Regions from separate parts of the Mus musculus genome. Here regions 1, 2, 3 and 4 are each reported to be linked to region 5. Evidence: microRNA targets listed by miRTarBase, many of them from high-throughput screens and not tested one by one. Region 5 holds a microRNA gene; each other region holds the end of a gene's coding sequence.

Region 1 (4,000 bases), not on the chromosome of region 5:
AAGCCATCCACCAGCAGGCACCAGCATGGCATGGCTGGCAGGCTGGGTTCCGAGCTGAAACTTGACCACTGGAATTCCTCATCTTACAGCCTGGTCTTGAGGGTCACAGAAAGCTACAGAAGTGGCCTGTAGCATTGCTATCAAGCTTGTTGCTCAGAGGGTCATGACAGCTGGCCTGGACGCATAGTAACCATGTCTCCCTCCTCTCTCTTCCAGCATCCTGGTTAACATGGACAACAACATCATCCAACACTACAGCAACCACGTGGCCTTCCTGCTGGACATGGGTGAGCTGGACGGCAAGATCCAGATCATCCTGAAGGAGCTATGAGGGCCCGGCCTCAAGCGTCCCACACCCGGGGCCCGGCTCAAGCCACGTACAACCTCTTCTGTGTCAGCTGTTACTTGAAATGCCTTTCTTTGGGAAAGAGGTCTCGCAAGCAACCAACTCGGTGATGTCCAAGCCAGGGAGAGACCAAGAAGGTTCCAGGATCTAAATGTCCCACCCAGGCTCGAACTCACTCCAGAGCTTCCTGAAAGCACCCAGCCCACCGGAGAGTCTGAGCAACACAGACCCAACTGCCTGCTTTCTCTTCTAAGTCCCGCTGCAGAGGCCCTTACAGGGGACGGGGGTCACACCACCTTCTCTGCAGGGCTACACCCGCTGTCTCGATCGGTTCTGACGTTCACTGTTTCCTTTCTACCAACTTCAGACCAGAGAGTTCTCACACTTTGGCCAAATAACTTGAAAACTCGTGACTTTCACAGCAGATGCCTTTGTGAGGCCCTTGGAGAGGAAACTTTCTTATTGACTTCCTCGGCACAAGATGTAAGTCACCATCATCGAGCTGACAGGAACAAATACCCTTGCCACCTACTGTTGTACACATTTCTTATTTACAGTTTTCATTATGTGATTATATATATATATATGTAAGTATATATTATGTACATATATGCAACATTTTGTATGTCCATGTTACATTTTTATCATTTCAAAAATATGTATTTCATATTTCTTGAACTATTTTTTTAGCTGTTATTCGATTATGCATTTTGTATATCATAGGGTTTAGTAATAAAAGCCTACCCATGCACACTTCCCCGGTTTTCATGCGCTTCTTCCTTCTGTGAGACTCCAGTGAGTCTCAAAGACCCAGAAGAGAGGCTCCGGTTGGAGAGGCCCTTCCTCTTTCTCCCTTCACTGTGGCTTGTCCCAAGGGCTTCATGTCCTGTACATGAAGGCTGACAATGGGCATGGCATATTTACCCTGCCAGGCCATAGAATCCACATGTGGTCTCACAAGAGTCATGACGAGGCTCCTCCATGCAGAGAGCAAGGCCCGGGAAGATTCACCACCTCTGTGACAAGTCCCTCAAAGCTAGGCCAGTGGACAGAGCCCAAAGCTGGGACCCATGCCACCAAGACCTGGGCCAACTCTGCCCCTACTTCTCAGGCTAACACTTTCTCTGGATTCAACTCGAACTGCTACCCAAAGGCAGCTACACATCACTTCCCAACTGTACAGCAGTAACATCAGATTGGTAACTTGTAGAGTCATGTGCCAGTGTCTAGGCCTCTGGGGCAGGGGGTAACTTCAAACTAAGTCTTATATCCTCTCCTAGAACAGCCTTCCTGACTCCCTCCCTCCCCCCTCCCTTCCTTCTTTTCTTCCTTTCCACAGTTGTATCTACTCCACTTCCTTACCAATAAAATGTAGTGTGGTCCTCACTGGCCTCCGTGTCCCTCAGAGCCTTGGGCTCTCCATCGAGTCTCAAAGATCCAGGCTGTGGGAGGGGTCAGCAGCCCTGCCTTTTGTCCCAGAAGCTCTGCTTCCCATGAATTGGGATTTCTTCTGACTAAACAAGACTTTTTACAGTTTTATGCGTATGGGTGTTTTGCCTGAATGTGTGTCTTTGTTACACGTTTGTATACTTTTGTTTCTTGGTTTGTTTTTAAAGTTTAAGAACCAAGATACTTTTTTTTTTGTTTGTTTGTTTGTTTGTTTTGGCTTTCCAAGACAGGGTTTCTCTGTGTAGCCCTGGCTGTCCTGGAACTCACTTTGTAGACCAGGCTGGCCTCGACCTCAGAAATCCACCTGCCTCTGCCTCCTGAGTGTTGGGATTAAAGGCGTGTGCCACCACGCCTGGCTCCAAGATACATTTTTTAAGAACTCCCAATTCCAACAGAATCCATGGTCAAATACCACAATCGGCACTGGGAGGCAGGCTACCCACGGGAGGAGCTGGCCTCAGGCGGCGACAAGGACAGGATGCCAAAGGACTCAGCACTGCACTTAGGGAATAGTTTAACACACTGGGGAGATAGTTACTGTTTCGTTTTTATTATTAGATAGGGTCTCTCTGTGTGGTTCAAGCTCATCTTAAACTCATTATCCATAGCACTAGGAGGGTGAGCGCACACAACCAATCCCAATCTGAGACCCTTTGAACATTAAGGCCGAAGATCCACAATGAACAAAATCTCGAGTCTAAAGACAGACTCTGCATGACTAATGCTTCCTCGTGCTTCATCATGGTTGCTGTGACCTGCTCAAGGGACACTGCAGCACCAGGGTTGCATCTCCCAGTCATGCCTCCCTGCTGCTGGGACACCACACTATGCATCAGAGCAGAGTCACACGTGAAGGTGACGTGACAGGAGAACAAAGCAGCTGACAGTGCCAGGCACATCCACGACTCCTAACGTCCTGTAACCGTTTCTGTAACCCAGAGCAACGAGGAAATCCCGGCAGGCCAAGGGGCTGCTGCTAGCCTCACTGGTGTATTGGAATTATCTGGCAGCCTCTACCCTGCCCTTGCCTCTAAATTAGCGTCCTGGATGAAGGCCCAGGCAATGGCACGTTTTGAAGTTCCCTAGGTGATCATAGTGTGTAATCAATGCTGAGGGGCACTGTTCCAAAGAGGCACTGATGCCGTTGGGTCTCTGTGGCTTCCACCTGCACACAGCAGGCTCGGCAGCTTTGGAACACACCTGCTGTGGGGCATAGGACGTGTACTGGAAGCTTCTGCATTCTGTATTACGCCTCCAGCAAGACACCAAAACAGAGCTGAGGGGACAAAAGTCACTTGGTCCCCAAGGACAGCACTCTAACCAGCTTTGAAAAGATTGTCTCTCCTCTTCAAGAAAGTCAGGGGAGGTCAGCTTGCCAATGGCAAGAATAATTCACTCCCTGAAATGAGAAGCCGGGAAGAACAGGAGTTTCTATAGCTTTCACTCTCAGAGGGCAGCTGTTGCCAGTGGGCAGAACACTACCTGTCTGCAGGTAACTGGAGACAGGAGCTGTTGCAGAGGCCATGGAGGGATGCTGCTTACTGGCTTGCTCTCCACGGTTTGCTCGACTTGCTCTCTTATAGAACTCAGGACAACCAGCCCAGGGATGGCAGCACCCACACTGGGCTGGACCTTCTCACATCAATCACAAATTATGAAAATGCCCTGCAGGCTTGCCCACGGCCTGACTTTTTTTTTTTTTTTTTAATGCAGGCATTTCCTCAGTTGAGGTCCCTATCTCTCAAATGCCTTTTGCCTGGGTCAAGTTAGCCAGCACAGGAGAAGTGTGGGGAGAAAGGAATGAGGAGCGGGAAGTGGGGGAGGGGGGAATTACCAAAGAGTCGGATGAACACGTGAAAGACGCAAGCCGAAGAACCGAGTGTGTATCAGACCCAGCACGGCTCGCTAAGCTTGCAGCATTGACTTCACATGGGGCATGTGTAAGAGCAGTCTCTCTGGCCCCGCCCCAGATCCATGACGTCTGTATTCTAACCCAATACCCATGGGATTTGCCTGTGCATTATTTGGGAAGCACTTTGAGAGCAGAGCTGTGCATCCCAGTTCTGCCGAGCTGTATCCCAATGTATCCCACACAGGACTTCATAGGTCAGCCTGCGGCTGCATGGCTGTAATCCCAGCACTCGGGATGTTAAGGCAAGAGGATCTGGAGTTCCAGGACAGTTGGACTACAGAGGGAGGCCTTGT
Region 2 (4,000 bases), not on the chromosome of region 5:
TACATGTCAGAATTGGATAGCAATAAACTCACAAGTGCTTTAGTTTCCAGGTAAGCAGATGGAGCTGTCACTCCCAGGGCTATTAAAGGTGTCCTCCTCTAACTGGGTCCAAATTAGGTTGCCACATCTCTTCCTCAGTTTAGGAAGTTCAGTAAGTTCTTGCTGAATTTCTTGATACAATTTTAACATACATAGTTGTGTGTGATATTAATTTGACAAAATTATAGTGTTTTTACTTTATCAGTTGTGCCTTGTCAGTGATGCCAGATGGATTGTGTTGTTTGCAAAGTACAGAGTCACCCATCTGTCTTTGTTTCTGTCTACTCAAATGCTGCTTGTAAAATGGAGTCTCAGAGTTGAGGCACAGCCTGAAAAACCAAGATTAACAGAATATAGCTTGCTTTCAACATCTATGCTGAAAAATCACAACCCCTAGACAGTCTCCAAATGAGGCCATTTACCAGAAGGACCAAATGATTGTCAAGGCTGGAACTTCAATCCCATCCGGTGATCCCTCTCCTGCTCCCTCTCCCCCCCCCCCCCTTCTGTGTGTGTGTGTGTGTGTGTGTGTGTGTGTGTGTGTGTGTGTGTGTATTAGGGAAGGGTGGGTTTCACGCTCCATATAAACTTTTGAATTCTTGAGATCTGGAGAGTATAGAAACTGAACTCTAGCCCAACCTCCTCGCCTTATTTACCTCTTTAATTTGACTTTATTAGTGCTTCTCTCCTTTATAACTGTTAAACTAAGTATTTACCAGAGTTCTGTGAGCCATTCTAGCAAACTTTTGAGAAAAAGTAGTAGGTCTGGAGACTGATTTATAGCTGTCTGGTAAAAGGTATTAGAATCCAGGGACTTCATAGATGGTTCGGTGTTTAAAAACACTTGCTCATCTTTCAAAGGACCTGAGTTTAGTTCCCAGCACCCACTTTGGGTAGCTCCCAACTTCCTGTAACTATGTGGTGCACATATAGGCAAATAGGCATGCATACACACACACACACACACACACACACACACACACACACACACACACACACACACACACACACACACGTATATAAAATTAGAACTTGGTACTTGCAATATTTGTAGCTGACATCTGATGTGGAGCAACTTTGTAAGGTTGAATCCTTTTTACCTGTGACATATGATGCTAAGTCCAAGTAGGTAAGCATGAGAACTAAAATTAATTGTAGGGTACCCAAAGGTGCTGAGTATAGTTGGTGTAGAATAAAAAAGTTTACATATTTTTTGTTATATAGGCCATTCTATGCTATGTAGGAATAACTGATTACTTAGTATGTAGACCAGGCTGGTTTCAAACTCACAGTAACCCTACCTGCCTCTGCTTTCTCAAGTGGGCATAAAAGGTATGCCCAGCTTGCTTTTTTTTTTTTTTTTTTTTTAAGAAAGTGTCTCATCTCATTCACTCTTTCTAGATTAGCCTAGAATTCACAGTGTATGGCAAATCAGATTGGTCTCAAATTCATGGCAATACTTCTTTGTTTTCCAAGTTCTGGGGTTAAGACACTATGTTGAGTCATTTACTTTTTTCTTTTCTTCATTTCTTGTGCTGTGCTGGAAATGGAATCCAGGATCTTGTGTTTGCTAAGCAGTCTGCCAATGAGCTGCATCTCCAGTCTCCAGCCAGATTCTTTCACCTCCTAGACTTACCTTACTGCTGTGATCCCTAAATACAGCTCCTCATGTTGTGGTGACCTCAACCATAAAACTTTTTGTTGCTACTTCTAACTGTAGTTTTGCTACTGTTATGAATCATAATGTAAATATGTTTTCTGATGGACTTAGGTGACACCCCTCCCCCATGAAAAGGTCATTTAACCCCTAAAGGGGCCATTACCCACAGGTTTTAAACCACTGTCCTAGACTGCTTTACCACTAAACCCCCCGCCCTAGCAATAAAGGCATTGAATTAATTAAATCAATTGTAGGATACCCAAAAGTGCTGAATGTACTTGGTGTAGAATAAAAAAGTTCACATATTAATTAATTATTAACTAATTAATTAATTTCTAAGACAAGGTCTCCTGCAGCCCAGGCTGGCTTCAAACTCACTATGTAGCAGACTTTGAACTTCTGATTCTTCTAGTATCTACTTCTCAAGTGCTGGCATTACATTAATTAATTAATTAATTAATTAATGCCATGCCATTAGGCCTGGTCATAAACCCTTTCTTAATATAGCTTTTATCAGAAATACTGGTTTTCAGGAGTATCTGGACCACCTTTTATTTTGACTGTTTAAGATAGGCTTTCAACTTTGTTGCCCTGGTTGGTGCAGAACTGGCTATCCTTGGCGTAGACCAGGCTATCTTTGAACTTTCTGATCCCCTGAATCTGTCTACTTAGTGCTGGGAACAAAAGCATGAACCCCAATATCCAACTTTTTATTTTTGTTGTGGGAGACTGAACTGAGGGCCTCAAACATGCTCTGCCTCTAAAGTATTCTCTCAGTCCCTATGGCCACTTTTTTGTCCTTGTTCAGATTCATATGGATAAAATATATGCAAAAAGGATAAAGGAGAAAATAAAGTAACTGAATAATCTGCCACTAATTACATGAAAAGACTGCTTAATAACATTTTATTCTCTTTAAAATAAATATTGTGCTGTAAAGCTGTCCAGAACTAAGATTTATACTATACAGCAGGCACGTACGAGAGCCAGCACAGTGAATTTTAGAATGAACCATTCTAATGTAGAGATGAGTCACGAACTGTCTGCACTAGACATGTACTCTGTAGTAAACTCATTCATGGTAAGAATCATAAAAGTTCAAGAAAAAGAGCAACCTCTCATTTAAAAAAAAAAAAAACCAGTTTCTTGAGTGATCTCAGGTTATCTGTGAGGCTCTCCTCTATTTCCACTTCTAGTTTAGTGCTTGACAGCGAGCAACTGTCACAGAAACATTTGCTGAAAGGATTTCAGGCACTAGAATTTTATACATTTTATGTGGCCCCTCATTTTATACAATCTTCTAGAAACTTCTTTCTAAATTATCTTTACTTCATTAGCTTGTCATATGTGCTGTAATTTATTCAGTAAGTATATTATTTAAAATACTTTAACAAGTACAAGGTATATGACATTTGATAAGCTGGACTAAACTGCTTGGATCAGATTTGTTTTGAAATTACATTACCCAAGCAAAGCCAAACGCAATCAGTTCATACAAGACCAAAATGAATGAAGTGAGACAAGGATCTGCCTTACAAGTTTATCTGTAATCTCTTATATACACGTGAATTTCACAGTGTGGTTGCCAGTCCTTTTTGTGATACTACAGACAAGGTCCAATGGTGAGACTCTATAAAGAGATGTGGTCAGGAGAAAGTGATGATTTTCAATCATCTTTCTTTCTTTCAACTTTAATATCTTTTAATTGGGGAGAGAAAGAAGTCCATTTTCATCAGCTGTATCTAGAATTTTACAGATTACTGGAGATTCAACCTGAAGAATAATAATATTAGAAAGTTGGTAAGGTGAACATTTCCTCAGTATCTTCTCAAAGAATATATTTGCTAAATATGTAAGATCCTGGTTTGGATAAACCTCCCAACATTTTCCCTACAGATTAGGCTCTTTTCTCTCTCTCCCCAGCCTCCTTCCATTTTTTCTTTTGAGATTGTGTCATGCTATGTATTCCTCCCTGACTAGCCTTGAACTTCTCTTTTGGCAATCCTGAGTGCCAATTTTCATGAAGCCTAACATAAATAATAAAGCTTTCTGAAAAACAAGTTTAGTCACCCATATAAAAGCATTATAGCTGAAAATATTTTTATTTCTCAGTAAATATGGTAAAGGAGACAGAAAGAACAGGAATATAGAAGTTTGTAACTAGAGTTACATCACTAAAACAGGAAAACACTATGGCAAAACTATCAGTTCTATTTATAAGGCAAAGTAAACACTAACTTAAAGGATGAATTATTTGTTATAATATTGTGAAAAAACAAAACAACAAAAGAAAAAAACCAA
Region 3 (4,000 bases), not on the chromosome of region 5:
AGCCTGAGTCTCCTCTGATGTGTAGTTGGGAGCCTACTTCTGCTTAGCACTTCACAGTGGACACCAAGTAGAGAAGGCATCACCGCACTCCACACCCTCTCCCTCTGGCTCCTGTTGTCTTCTGGGTTTCTTGTTTCAAACAAAATGATTAAATGTCAGAGGGGAGTTTAAAACCAGGCGTGGTGACCCACAGAACTCAGGAGGAGGAGGCAGGAGGATTAAAGGTCATTTTGGACTGCAACAAAAATTCATGTCCAGCCTGTGTTATATAAGACCCTGTCTCATAAAGTGGGCGGGGGAGGTGGGGGTAAAGAGGAGGCTCTTAAGCTAAAACGTGATTGGGCTAGTGAACCAGTCAGCCCCCTCATCCTGCCTCCTTATCACCTGGCATCCTGAGCAGTCTCCTGGCCACTGCTGCTGTGGAGAACTGGGCTCTCAGCTGAAAACCAGAGAGGCCACTGTTCAAACTGTTTCACAGTACACCTGAGGTCACTGTCTCTATTTCTGAGCATTTTGCAAATGGCACATGTGGCATTTTGATTTCACAGGGTATGTCTTTGTTTTTTCATTTTATTTTGCTCATTTAGCCTCAAGCCCAAGGCAGAAGACCTATCTGCATTTGAGTCCTCAAAGTAGGTTATTCCCAGGTATTCTGTCTGTGGTGCTGGTCCTTCGTCTGTGGTACTAACCCGTGCATGAGCTTGCCTGTCTCTGTCCTCGGGCCACGCAGAGCCCTCCTGAGGGCAGGGAAGCCTGGGGCCTGGCCACAGCATGCTTTGAGGGTGAGAGCAGCTGTCCACCCTGGGGGGGCCCAGACCAGCCTCCCGGGCCTAGAAGACTGCCTCACTCTGAAGAGCATGCTGTGGGGATGCAGGACCAGTTGCTTGGTTTCCCTTATGTCACTGGTTGGGTTGGGGAAAGTCATGGCTCCCTTTCCAGTCAAATCTAAGTCCTTTTTCTTCTTGGTGGTATACTCCTTTGATAGATACCTCTAGCATGGAAGTGGGAATCAGTTCTGATGCTTTTAAGACTGATGTCTCTTGTTCAAGATCACTCCTCTCCTGTAGTGGTACGCTCTGCAAACTTATCACAGCTGGTAGCTTCTGGGTGTGGGCCACTCATTCTCATTTTTTCCTCAAGCCTTCTGTTCTCTGCACACCCCTTTTCTTTCCTAGGGCAGCAAACAGAACACTGGTGCATCTTTAAGCCAGTTGCAGTGAGTTGGCTGTCCCATGGCTGCTCTAAAGGCCACTTTGGCTTCTGTCCCCCTACCGCATGGAAGGAGCTGTGCATGGACAAGCTCATCTGCAACTGTCCCATTGCAGACACCCAGGAGATGAGTTAGCAGCATTTGTGTTGAGTCAACTAATTAAAGCATTACAGATTATTCTTTCAATATGCCCAGGCAATACAGGATTATCATGCCTAATATTTAAATGTTACCGTCCTTCCATTACTGCTTGATCCCCAGTCATACCCATGTCAGCATGCCTCTGACACTTCTGACAGAGAAATAGGCTATGTCCTTAGCGTCCTCACTGCAGTCAGGTAAAGAAACTCGGAACCTGGACGTTTCCGTTTGCTCATTGTCCACAAAGGAGGTCAGCTGTGACGTCCCAGGTGCATCAGGTAACTGAGAGTGCACAGAGGCCCCACGAACCCGAGACTGTCATTTGAGCCTGCCTGAGTGAATGCACTTCTTTTTTCAGCCTCATGCCCACTTTGGTTCTGCTACCCTGACATCATGCAGTGTGTGCTCTAAACAGGATATTGGAAAGTTGAATCTCTGCCCACATGGTAACCCAAGTGGATCTGTGGTGCTTCGTGCACTCTGGTCAGTGCAGGGCACTCGGAAAACCTTGCTATATCTTACCTGGTGCATCAGATGCTCCCTGCGTATAATTAGGCAATTTCATTAGAATGTGGGTTCATCTTTTGTTGTGTGATATAGAATATTTGTATTCTTCAGGGTCCTAAGTTTGATCATCAGTTCTCACTGAGTTGTTATAAACAAGAGAGGTTTCCTTTTTAGTCATCTTTGTATTGTTTCTAGACCTATAGCCTCATCATGCCAAGTGCCCAATGACAGATTGAGTACACAGTGCTGGGTCTGTACGTTTGTATTACCCAGTGGCATCACAGCCATCTTGGTCTATGATTTTCCCTTAGTGATAAGATCATCTACCAACACACCTCTCACTGCATGGCCCAATCATCAAGTAGCGAGTGACTGTATTTGGAAACGTTTGTTTGTTTGTTAGTTCATTCATTCATTCACTCAGGTGAATGCCTTAATGTGCCTGTTGTTTTCAAAACAGATTGCTAGGCTGTATTTAATTAAGAATTCTGATAACCAGCCGGGCGTGGTGGCGCACGCCTTTAATCCCAGCACTCGGGAGGCAGAGGCAGGCTGGTTTCTGAGTTCGAGGACAGCCAGGGCTATACAGAGAAACCCTGATAACCAAGAATTCTGATAACCAAGGTTACTAAAAGCAAGAACTTGTCTTTCAATATGATGCAAGTTCCTCTCAGCAATTTTAAACTAAATACTGGTGGATTTTGCTGTCTGAGGAATGTTTCATTTACTTAGGTAGTGGCAGTCTCTATGGCTAGTGGCCAGTGCTCATAACTGATGGTCACCTTCCTGTGTAGAGGTGGCTCTCAAGTCATTTCCACTACTGTCTGAACCATTGCTAGCCTAGCAGAAAAGTGTCCCTTCTGGCTTTGGAAGTGTGTGTACCTATTGGTCAAGGGAGGAGCTCCATTTTGACATTGGGGATGAGAGATTCTTAGAGAGGGTTTCTCTTGCTGTGAAGAGACTCCATGACCATGGCAACTCATAGGAAGCATTCACTGGCTTACTTTCAGAGGTTTAGTTTAGTTCATAATCATTGTAGCAGGAAGCATGGTGGTACACAGGCAGACGTGGTGCTGGAGATGTAGCTGAGAGATGTACATTTCAGAAGACAGCACTGGGCCTGGCTTGAGCATTTAAAACTCTAAATGCCCACCCCTGGTGACACACTTCCTCCAACAAGGCCACACCTCCTAATGCCAGATTCTCTGGAATTAGAGTTACAGATGGTTGTGAGCCACCATATGGGTGCTGGGAATTGAACCCTGGTCTTCTGGAAAACCAACCAGTATTTTATTTTATTTTATTTTATTTATTTATTTATTTTTGGTTATTCGAGACAGGGTTTCTCGGTATAGCCCTGGCTGTCCTGGACCTCACTTTGTAGACCAGGCTGGCCTCGAACTCAGAAATCCGACTGCCTCTGCCTCCCAAGAGCTGGGATTAAAGGCATGCGCCACCACGCCCGGCCTCCAACCAGTATTCTTAAGCACTAAGACATCTCTCCAGCCTTTGATTTTTTTGCTTTCTTAGGAGACAAAATTCTTAGCTAGGTGGTGATGGCACACACCTTTAAACCCAGCACCCCAGAGGCAAGGGCAGGCAGATCTCTGGGGGTGGATGGGCAGGGTAGGAATGAGAACTCTTACCTGTAAAGAATTAATCATGGATAAATCAAGCCTGGTAATGGCTCACACCTATAAACCAACGTCTACTGAGGCAAGAGGATCACAAGTTCAAGGACAGCATCAGTAACAGAGCAGGATAAGGAAAGGGGACAGTGCAAGAGTGCTTGCTAGCATGCACGAGGCCGTGCATTAGATCCCAGCCGAACAGGTATCAGAAACGTAACATTCTGCCACGCACAGTGCCAGAGCAAGTGTCAGGACTTGGCTAGGACTATACAGTGAGACCCTGTCTCAAGTCCTCCACCTCCCTCCTCCCTCTTCTCCTCTCTCCCACCCCCAGGATTGTTGTGAGGGTAAATGAAGGAAGTCACGGGAGACACTTAGTGCACAGTGAGGGTTTGACGACATGAAAAGCAGCATCCGCTTGTGGACCAGTGATGAGGGAGGAAGGAGGAATCATGGGTTGTGCTACATGGCTTTAAGCCTACAACTGGTGGTGAGCATTAGGTATGTTGAG
Region 4 (4,000 bases), not on the chromosome of region 5:
TATCTTTGTTCACTAATTTAATATCAGAAACATCTCCTCAAGTTGCTCTTAGTCTTTCCGACTGCTTGTTTTAATTTATTTACTCCCCCCCCCCCATTCTACCCCATTCCCTCCCATGTTGCTTCCAACAACGTAGAATTAAAACAGAAAGCTCATCTCTCTTCTTCCTTTCAGACCACTCGGCTTCTACTGAGCAACCACAAGGCCTTGGGAAACAAGGAGCCCTCGGGGCTGTGGAAGCCAGGCCTTTCCTCCCTGCCCGTGCTCAGTCGCCCAGGAAGCCCCAATAAACCTGAACGAGCTTCGGAGGAAGTGAGAAGCCCCTGTCCATCTTGGAGGATCAGAAGCAAGACTTTTGCTGAGCTGCAGTTTTTAGCCGGTCTTTCTCTCCCTCACTTAGTATCATTGGCAACTGTAATACCTACCTCACAACTAACTGATCGCCAGGACCCAGGGTGGAAACGAAAATACACTTGCGGCTGAGGGCTGAGGTTGGACCTGGAGCCAGCCAAGAGAGGGTAAATTCTGAGCACGTAATCCAGGGTGAATCCTGAAGCTGTAGTCTCTCTCTGCAGCCCCTGAATGCCTTCGAGCCTCAATGGAGGGCAGGTTTCTTCTGCTGTCTGCTAGGTCCCGCTGGTGTTTTCTAGACTCCATTTACATAGCTTATGTTATGGACATCACAGTTTGTGAACTCTGTATTGTTTGTTACTTGGGCTTATACTTAGTTCCTTTTTTGCAAAGAATTGTTAATATAAGTGTAATCACCTCCCTTATTCTGTAATATTTCATACTCCTAACAGTGTTTGAATATCTCATTTTGTATCTGTGCAGTATTGAATTTAAAAGCCAATTTGTACCTTTGCTTGGCTTGTAGGTGCTAAACAATACTGTTTTCTGATACATATTTCTTTAACTGTCTGTGTGGATAACCTCTGTCCCTGCTTTCTGTGTCTCTTGCTTGATTTTGTGAATTTCCCATGTTGCATTTTGTGGCTTGGGCCCTCTGTGCTGTCATCAATACTGTGTTCATAATATTCAAGTTTCTGGGTCCATCCTCAGTCAGCAACCCAGCTAATGATCTCTGGACTCTGCTCGGAGGTTTCTACCTCACCCCACCCCTCTCTCATCCTCTATCGAGCCTATCAGAGCTCAGCTGCTCTATCCTGAAGGATGTGTGGTTCACTCCTTCCAGTTATATCTCCCCGGTGTGGATGGGACAGACCATCAGGAATCCATATATACCTTGCCCATTTCGTGGTCTCTCCCTCCCTCCTCCCTCTCCCCTCCTCTCCTTCTCCCTCTCTCTCCTCCGTCCTCCCTCTTCCCTCCTCCCTTCCCTCCTCCCTTCCTCCAGCCTCTCTGTACCCACTCATCCTGTTGTTTTCAGTGTGTGCTTTGCTGATATTTGTTGTGGTCATGTTCCCCAATGTAACTGTGTAAAAAGATTTGTGTTTCTTTCCATAACGTGACATTTGAGAAATAGGAGCAATTTAGTAAGTTTTCATAAAGCCAAACTTACCTTATTTGGAGAAACTTTTATCATGATACCAATGGATCAAAGGAGAGGAGGGATGTAAAAGTGTCCTTTCCAAACCAGTTTCCTCTTAGTGGACAGTAAGCTCGCGGACTTAGGGCTTCTCACTTCAGTTGTCAGTAACAGTACTTCTGAGATTGTGTTTTATATTCTTTTCTTTCTTTTAAAATTCAAGTTGTGACATTTTTTTCCTAGTGGTATTTGTGTGTGTGTGTGTGTGTGTGTGTGTGTTTGTGTGTGTGTTTGTGTGTGTGTTTATGCATTGGGATCAAACCAAGGGCCTTGCCCATGTGAAACAAAGTCCTCCACCAGCAAGGTACATCTAAGTCCTGGACTAAACTTTAAAGTAAAATTTTAGTCCAGTCCCAGTGGTGCAGGCCTTTAATCCCAGCACTCCAGAGGCAGAGGCAAGCAGATCTGTGAGTTCAAGACTGCCTGATGTACAGAGTGAGTTCCAGGCTAGTCAGAGCTGCACAGTGAGACCCTGCCTCAAAAGAAATTGCATTTAATTATTATTACTATTTACACTCTGTCATTTTCCTATATGTATTTTGCTGTAAGCCATCTTAAATCCTTGATGGGATGGGGTGGCTCAGTGTGTTCTCTTTCCATCAATAGACGTGGTAGCTCTTACAGTGGTAGCTCTTATAGTATTGCTTTCTCATGTGTCTCACCAGCATGCTCTCAGATATGATGTTCCTGGTCTGTAACCATTGTTGCAACATTTTATTCAAGTCCATAGTATTTCATTTTAAGTTTTAGTTCTTTTGGGAATTTAGTCTACAAAATTATCTTTTTGTGTATATGATACTGGGAATGGGCCTGTGGCTCATGAGCACTAGGCAAGTGTGCTCTACCTCTGAGCTGTATTCTCAGCACTCAAATTATGTTATGTAAGTGTTACCAGATCGAGTCTGGCTGCTCACCCCATGCTGGGCAGATAAAGTTAAGAGATGTGGTACTGAGGGAAGAGGGTGATTTTATTCACAAACCTTCGTAGAAAGGAAGGATGGGGGTGTTTGGAGCCTGCTCGCTGGGGAGCTAACTTGGGGTCAGTTTACACTAGTGGGTGATGGCTGACCTTGGGCACTCTCTCGCGGTGCGTGGGCCAGAGAATGCGCAGCTCTTTGCTTTGTCTTGTGTTTTCATTTCTTCATGTCTCAGAAACAGAGCAGTGTTTCCTTGGACTTTACTTTTCAAATTAGTTCCACAGCACACAGGGAAATGACTCCCGGGGTGGAGAGGTCCTGAGCCCTCCCCCCCCCTTGTGTAATGAGCGAACTAGGCTTCATGATCACGCCCCCAACCGATAGTTCAAGTGGAGCCTTGTCACTTTACTGCACAAACTTCTCTAGCTCTAACACGAGAATTCTCTGAGGACTCTCAGGAATCGCAACCGGTTTCCTCCAGCCCTCCCCCCACCTCATTCTGAGACCATTATCCAGTCATTTGACTTAAGACAACAAGTTATTGATTGTCCTTATTATCTTTTCCTCATTCCATGGCAAATCTGTTTCCAAGTGTTGGAAGTTCTTTCCCCCTCAGAAACCTTCTAAAGGGTCAGTTTTCCTTACCTCTCTCCACCTTCAGACACTGCCCTGGTGCACACCCCCACCTCTCCCTGCCTTGGTATACACACACACAAAACTGTCACTGCCTTTGTGCACACTTCTCTTATGTATTTCATAGGCACATTACTCAATGATGTCCAGGTTAATTGTTGAGTTTTTTTGTTTGTTTTGTTTTTGTTTTTTGGTATGAGGTGCTGGGTAGGCTCTTATACCCATGGTAGCCATGGTAGCCGCATTTAAATATTGATATAGTTGGCCTTTGAAGATTTCATTTACTCTCTCTCATTTATTTGTTGACACGGTCTCATGCAGCCCGGGCTAGTCTCGAACTCACTATGTAGCTCAGGCTGGGTTTGAACTCCTTATCCCCTGGCCTCTATCTCCCATGAGGTGGGGGTGTCGGTGATGCTACCACATCTGCCTCTAAAGTGGCTTGTGTTTCCCTGCTTTTAAATACGTTTTACTTATTTACTATACGTGTTGTGTTTACGTTTTACTTATTTACTATACGTGTTGTGTTTAGGCTTACGGATGTAGTGATGTGTGTGGTTCGGTGATGTATATGTGGAGGTCAGAGGTCGCCTCCCTGTTGTCAGTTCTCGCCTTCCATATGTGGGAGGTGGCTTTAGACTTGTAATCCTGCTGCTCCTTAAGTGCTAGGGTCACAGGTGTGGGACACACCAGGCTCTCTCCTCTTCTCCCTGCCTCCATTCCAGCTGCCTGATCTTTTGGAAGCAAACCTAAGGATATTGCAGTTCTGTTTCTCCTGCCGAAATTTTCATCGGCCTCCATCACGCAGGGCAAGCATCCTACGTTAGGATGCACAGGGGCAGAGCAACAGGTAAATGGGGGTAAGGAAGAAGGGCTGTGGCAAGCTGTCCCAACAGTGGTG
Region 5 (4,171 bases):
CTAAATACCTAATAAAAAAAAAATGAAAAAAAAAAAAAAAATAAAAAAAAAAAAAAAAAAAAAGAAGTGCAGGCTAATCCCTACTGGGCCCCCTGTGCTCGTGAAGCAGGGACAGAGCTTGGGTATCACTGCCTTGTAGACTCAGGAGGACATTCTGTGCTATTTCCAACAGGGTGGCACTGAGGACAAGACAGGCCAAGGGATGGTCTCACATACAGACTAGAGAGTCAACCAACACAAAGGCTTCAGTTCTTGGCATCAATGCCTCAAAGTAGAAATGGTCTAGGGTAGGACATGGTGCAGAGAAGTAGGCTGTGGGATAGTCATCAGATAGAAAACAAACGTCTCAGAGACAAGCTAGCTCAGGTACCACCAGCACGGACTCTACTTAGGATGCTTCTTCCTCTAAGATGCCCTTCTGGACTTCCCAACCCCCACCTCAGGAGATGTGAGGCTCTGGGTCAGGATGAGTCAGCTACATGCCTGACCATCAGTGGTGTCCAGTGGGTCAGCAAAGTGTGTCCCTCCCCTGACACCCATGCTCACACAGTAAGAGCCAATGATAAAGAGAGGTGACCATGCACTGTACCAGCATTAAGAATGGAAACCCGTCACGGGCAATCTCACCTCAGATACTAGGAACTGCACGTGTAACCAACTGGCCTGGCTCTTCCCTAAGTATCATGCTAGCCCCTCCAAGCCCTCATGGTATTGAGAAGCACCCAGGGTACAGGGCATTTGAGCATGCAGCCCTCGGTGGAAGCCTTAGACAGGGACAAACACCCATTGTTGTGGCGGGAAAGAGGCATGGAAAGTGGACAGCCATCCATTGCACATCTGGCCAATGCTTCGTGGCCCAGCCTACAAGGTTGGTGCGATCCCAGGAGGCTCCTCAGAGCTGAGGTTCAGTGAAGAGGGGGTGACAAGCGTCATACAGAGTCCATGCATTTACCTACCGGGCAGTGGTGTGACACCTGGTATGTACTGCCGAGTGACCGGAGTGGCAGGTGGTATTGAAAACAGGCCATCTGTGTTATATTCGTCATTAATAAAGCGAACTCATCACAGACAACCTCTCCTCAAGTACCCAGTGTTGACCGCAGCAACCCTGGAGCTGGAATCACCACCTGAAGCTGTCCTGGGGGGAAGGGGGGGATTGCATATAAATGGTGAGTAGGGTTGACACAGGCAGCACACAGCCTGTTCCACCCAGCCCAGTTCCCCGCGGAGGCAGCAACCTAGAAGCACCATGCTGTCCCCACCCCCACAGGGGCTGCAACTCCAAGAGCTTCTCCAAGCTGAGCGTTGATACTGAGAAAAGATCAACCATGTATTATTCGAAGTCAGCCAAGCGAATATAACACGGTCGATCTCCCTTCAAGTACCAGCAGAGGTGTTGAGCTGAGGCTGTGACATCCTGGGCGCAGGCTGCAGCGGGCACCGACGGCTAGTGGACCAGGTGAAGTACATTAGAAACAATTACTTTCCAGCTGGTCGACCATCCGTCCCATACCCCAGAGCGAGATGAGTCCATGGTCTTCCCTGAGGTGGCCTCCCTGGAGGGATTTGATACCGAAAAGGGGTTCACCGAGCAACATTCGTCCTCCAGATGCAAAGTTGCTCGGGTAACCTCTCTCCGAGTACCACGGAGAGGCTCGGATGCTCAGAACGAGGCCGATGGCTGAGTTTCCAGAAGAACCATCCTGGAGCCCCTCAGAGATTATAACTCCCCATTCAGTGAGGAGCCACCCTCCACCACGTGAAAGCAATTATTCCATCACCTCCCCAGTGCAATCTACCACCCTTTCACCTTCCAAGAATATCTAAAGCCTTCCCAGACAACCTTGAGACCCAGGTAGCGAGGAGCTGACTCGGGGCAGAAGTGGGTGCAGAACTCTGCTTACTCTATCTCTCCTTTGTAAGCTGGAGATAGGGAGATGCTGAGACCCTGCGCATATACCACACCACCCTCCCAGAGACGATGCCTTCCAGAAGCGAGGAGGCAATGACTGCATCATCCAGAGATGCTCCTCCTTGGGCCCACCCAACCACTGCAGCCCCACGACCCTGGCATCCCCGCCCTGTCACCTGCCCCCTCCCCCCACGGTGATGTCATAGCAAGAACTGCTTGACCATCCAGTCCTATAAACCAAGCAAGTAATGCTTCAAAGATAAACATGGAGGGAGGAGAGAAAGAACAGCGGAAGGAGATCCCGCAGGGTCCCCTTGTGCCAGTGTGTATGGCTGCCCCGCACGAGCACGCCAGGGAGGGCTCTCCAGTAAGGGTCAGGATCCATTGACTTAGGCCATAAGCAGAGTATGGATTCTGTGTTCGCCACTCATTTTAAAACTCTTGGAGTGTGACCAACATCAGAATCCCTTCTCTGATTTTGGCAAGAGTTCACACAGGCTTCTAGCCTTGCTGCAGGGCAGCAAGAGACTGGTCACATGCAGTGTGTCATACGGGGAAAAGACGCCACGGGCAGCTTCATGTAGGTGTTCTGGAAACTGACCTGTGGGACAGAGGCTCTTTCCCCAGCTGGCATCACCTCCTGGAAATGCTCCTAAGAGGCACACAATGGCGATGATGGTGGCTAACGGTAGCTACAAGATCCAGTCAACAGTATGGGGAGGGAAGCTTGTCCAGGTTCTTCCTCCAAGCACTTGTCCTGGAGAGAGCTCCAGCCACTGACCAGTTCCAAGACAATGATGTAGCCTCTGGAGTCCTTTGAGGTAAAGATCCTTTTGGAAAGAGAGCCACCATGAAACCTGGTGCTCATCACACCCCAGATAGTATATTAGACCCTGGATACATCCACTCTAAAATGACCTCCCGTACGGGCCTAGCCCTTCAGCACCAACAATGGGTACGTCTTTAAGCCTAGCCCTGGGAGCTGGCAACATGGAAACCCAAGGAAGGGCAGGCCCTAGAATGTTCCAGGTACCAACTGCTCGGCAAGAGCAGACTCCCCAGAACCAGTGTCTTACCCGGAATGTTTCATGAGGATCGAGGAAAGTGAAGAAGACTGCTCAGTGGGCACGTGCTCTGGCACTGGTACCCAGTCACATCCTCCAGGTGACACCCGCCAGCTTCTGAATACTCCATGAAGCTCTCTGTAAAGGTTTGGGATGGGAAAATAAAGTTTAGCCACATTAAAAAAAAAAACCCACATGGTGACCAGTCCTTCTTATCACCCCACTAGCTCTAGTCTATATCCATAGATTTCCCCATCTCAAACACCACACCCACATTGATTTTCATAAAAAAACATGCATTTCTTTCCTTTTTTTTTTTTTAAAGTAAATTCCATTAAACTAATCCAATTCCCTGTTTAGCTTCCTTGACTGTGCTGTTGGGCCATTTTCATTTCTTTTATTTCCCTTGTTATTTCCTCAAATCATTTTCATTAGGATCAATTCTTTCCCATTTAAAAATCTGAACGAAGATTTGATTCCTCAATGTGCGTTCATCTACCACAAATATTACTGCTCATAGCATCCGCCACTACTGAAGCTGCCCCTTGCGGCTGCCATGTCTACAGAGTACTGTTTCCCCAGGTCAAATGTCGCAGCTCAAATGTTGTCAAGAAAATTGGATTCTTCTGCCAATTTGTAGTCAATTGAACACATTTTCCTCCAAGCTATTCTGGTAGTTTGTGGTGTTATTTTGTGATTATTTTATCACTATTATTTAATGTAAACGGGATGAAATGCTGGTCGCCTCTATTCATTTCCTAACCCATCCAAAAATGGAGAACAAGGTTTGGTGAGCGATGAGGACGAAAGAGAAACAGACAGAGGTGTGTTGAGGGGGTGGGGTGGGAGGGGGGAAAAACAGATGGTATGTGAGCACTCCTGACCCAGTGAGTTGAGGAGAGGAAGGGGGTGGGGAGGGAAGGCTGCCATTGTCCTTGACACTGTCAAAGGACAGAGTTCATTTTGTCAAGGTATCTTCAGAGTAGAGATAGAACAGCGAGTGTGTCTGCAACTAGGGGGGCTAGGTGCTGGTGTGACAAAGAGGATTCAGGCTGAGAAGAGTCAGGGAGTAGATATTGGCATCTCTCCATTGGTTCCTGGGACTACATGTCTGGTCACGTGGCGTTCTGAGCCACACCCCTTCCTGACCATCCCCATATCCACACCTTCCATTCTAGCACATGACATTTGCAGA

Evidence for each region. Region 5 holds the annotated microRNA mmu-miR-410-3p (AAUAUAACACAGAUGGCCUGU, at 1,020-1,040, opposite strand). A microRNA usually pairs through its seed, bases 2 to 8, with sites in the 3' UTR of a target mRNA and lowers its output. Matches are read on the target gene's strand: a 7mer-m8 pairs with bases 2 to 8, a 7mer-A1 pairs with bases 2 to 7 and ends in A, and an 8mer does both.
Region 1: miRTarBase lists Grhl3 as a target of mmu-miR-410-3p. Seed matches in the 3' UTR shown: 7mer-A1 at 918-924.
Region 2: miRTarBase lists Erlec1 as a target of mmu-miR-410-3p. The part of its 3' UTR that is shown has no 7-base or 8-base seed match.
Region 3: the mRNA of Nf2 is a reported target of mmu-miR-410-3p. The part of its 3' UTR that is shown has no 7-base or 8-base seed match.
Region 4: the mRNA of Zc3hav1l is a reported target of mmu-miR-410-3p. Seed matches in the 3' UTR shown: 7mer-m8 at 1,195-1,201.

Annotation. Positions count from the first base shown.
Region 1 is chr4:135,538,990-135,542,989 of GRCm38, reverse strand. It overlaps Grhl3 (grainyhead like transcription factor 3), which reads left to right. Exons shown (of 16, transcript NM_001013756.2): 16 at 217-1,102. The coding sequence ends at 331. Among named protein-coding and RNA genes, the nearest start is that of Gm30888, 33 kb to the left of the region's middle.
Region 2 is chr11:30,928,377-30,932,376 of GRCm38, forward strand. It overlaps Erlec1 (endoplasmic reticulum lectin 1), which reads right to left. Exons shown (of 14, transcript NM_025745.3): 14 at 1,408-3,472. The coding sequence ends at 3,401. Among named protein-coding and RNA genes, the nearest start is that of Erlec1, 24 kb to the right of the region's middle.
Region 3 is chr11:4,777,210-4,781,209 of GRCm38, reverse strand. It overlaps Nf2 (neurofibromin 2), which reads left to right. Exons shown (of 17, transcript NM_001252250.1): 16 at 588-632. The coding sequence ends at 623. Among named protein-coding and RNA genes, the nearest start is that of Cabp7, 32 kb to the right of the region's middle.
Region 4 is chr6:38,289,312-38,293,311 of GRCm38, reverse strand. Zc3hav1l (zinc finger CCCH-type, antiviral 1-like) reads left to right here. Exons shown (of 4, transcript NM_172467.3): 4 at 175-4,000. The coding sequence ends at 290. Among named protein-coding and RNA genes, the nearest start is that of Zc3hav1l, 7.9 kb to the left of the region's middle.
Region 5 is chr12:109,740,633-109,744,803 of GRCm38, reverse strand. It overlaps Mir410 (microRNA 410), which reads right to left and starts at 1,089; the gene lies at 1,009-1,089. It overlaps Mirg (miRNA containing gene), which reads right to left. Exons shown (of 8, transcript NR_028265.1): 3 at 2,989-3,114; 4 at 2,514-2,742; 5 at 1,386-1,447; 6 at 957-1,138. It overlaps Mir541 (microRNA 541), which reads right to left and starts at 2,395; the gene lies at 2,306-2,395. It overlaps Mir409 (microRNA 409), which reads right to left and starts at 1,646; the gene lies at 1,568-1,646. It also overlaps Mir412 and Mir369.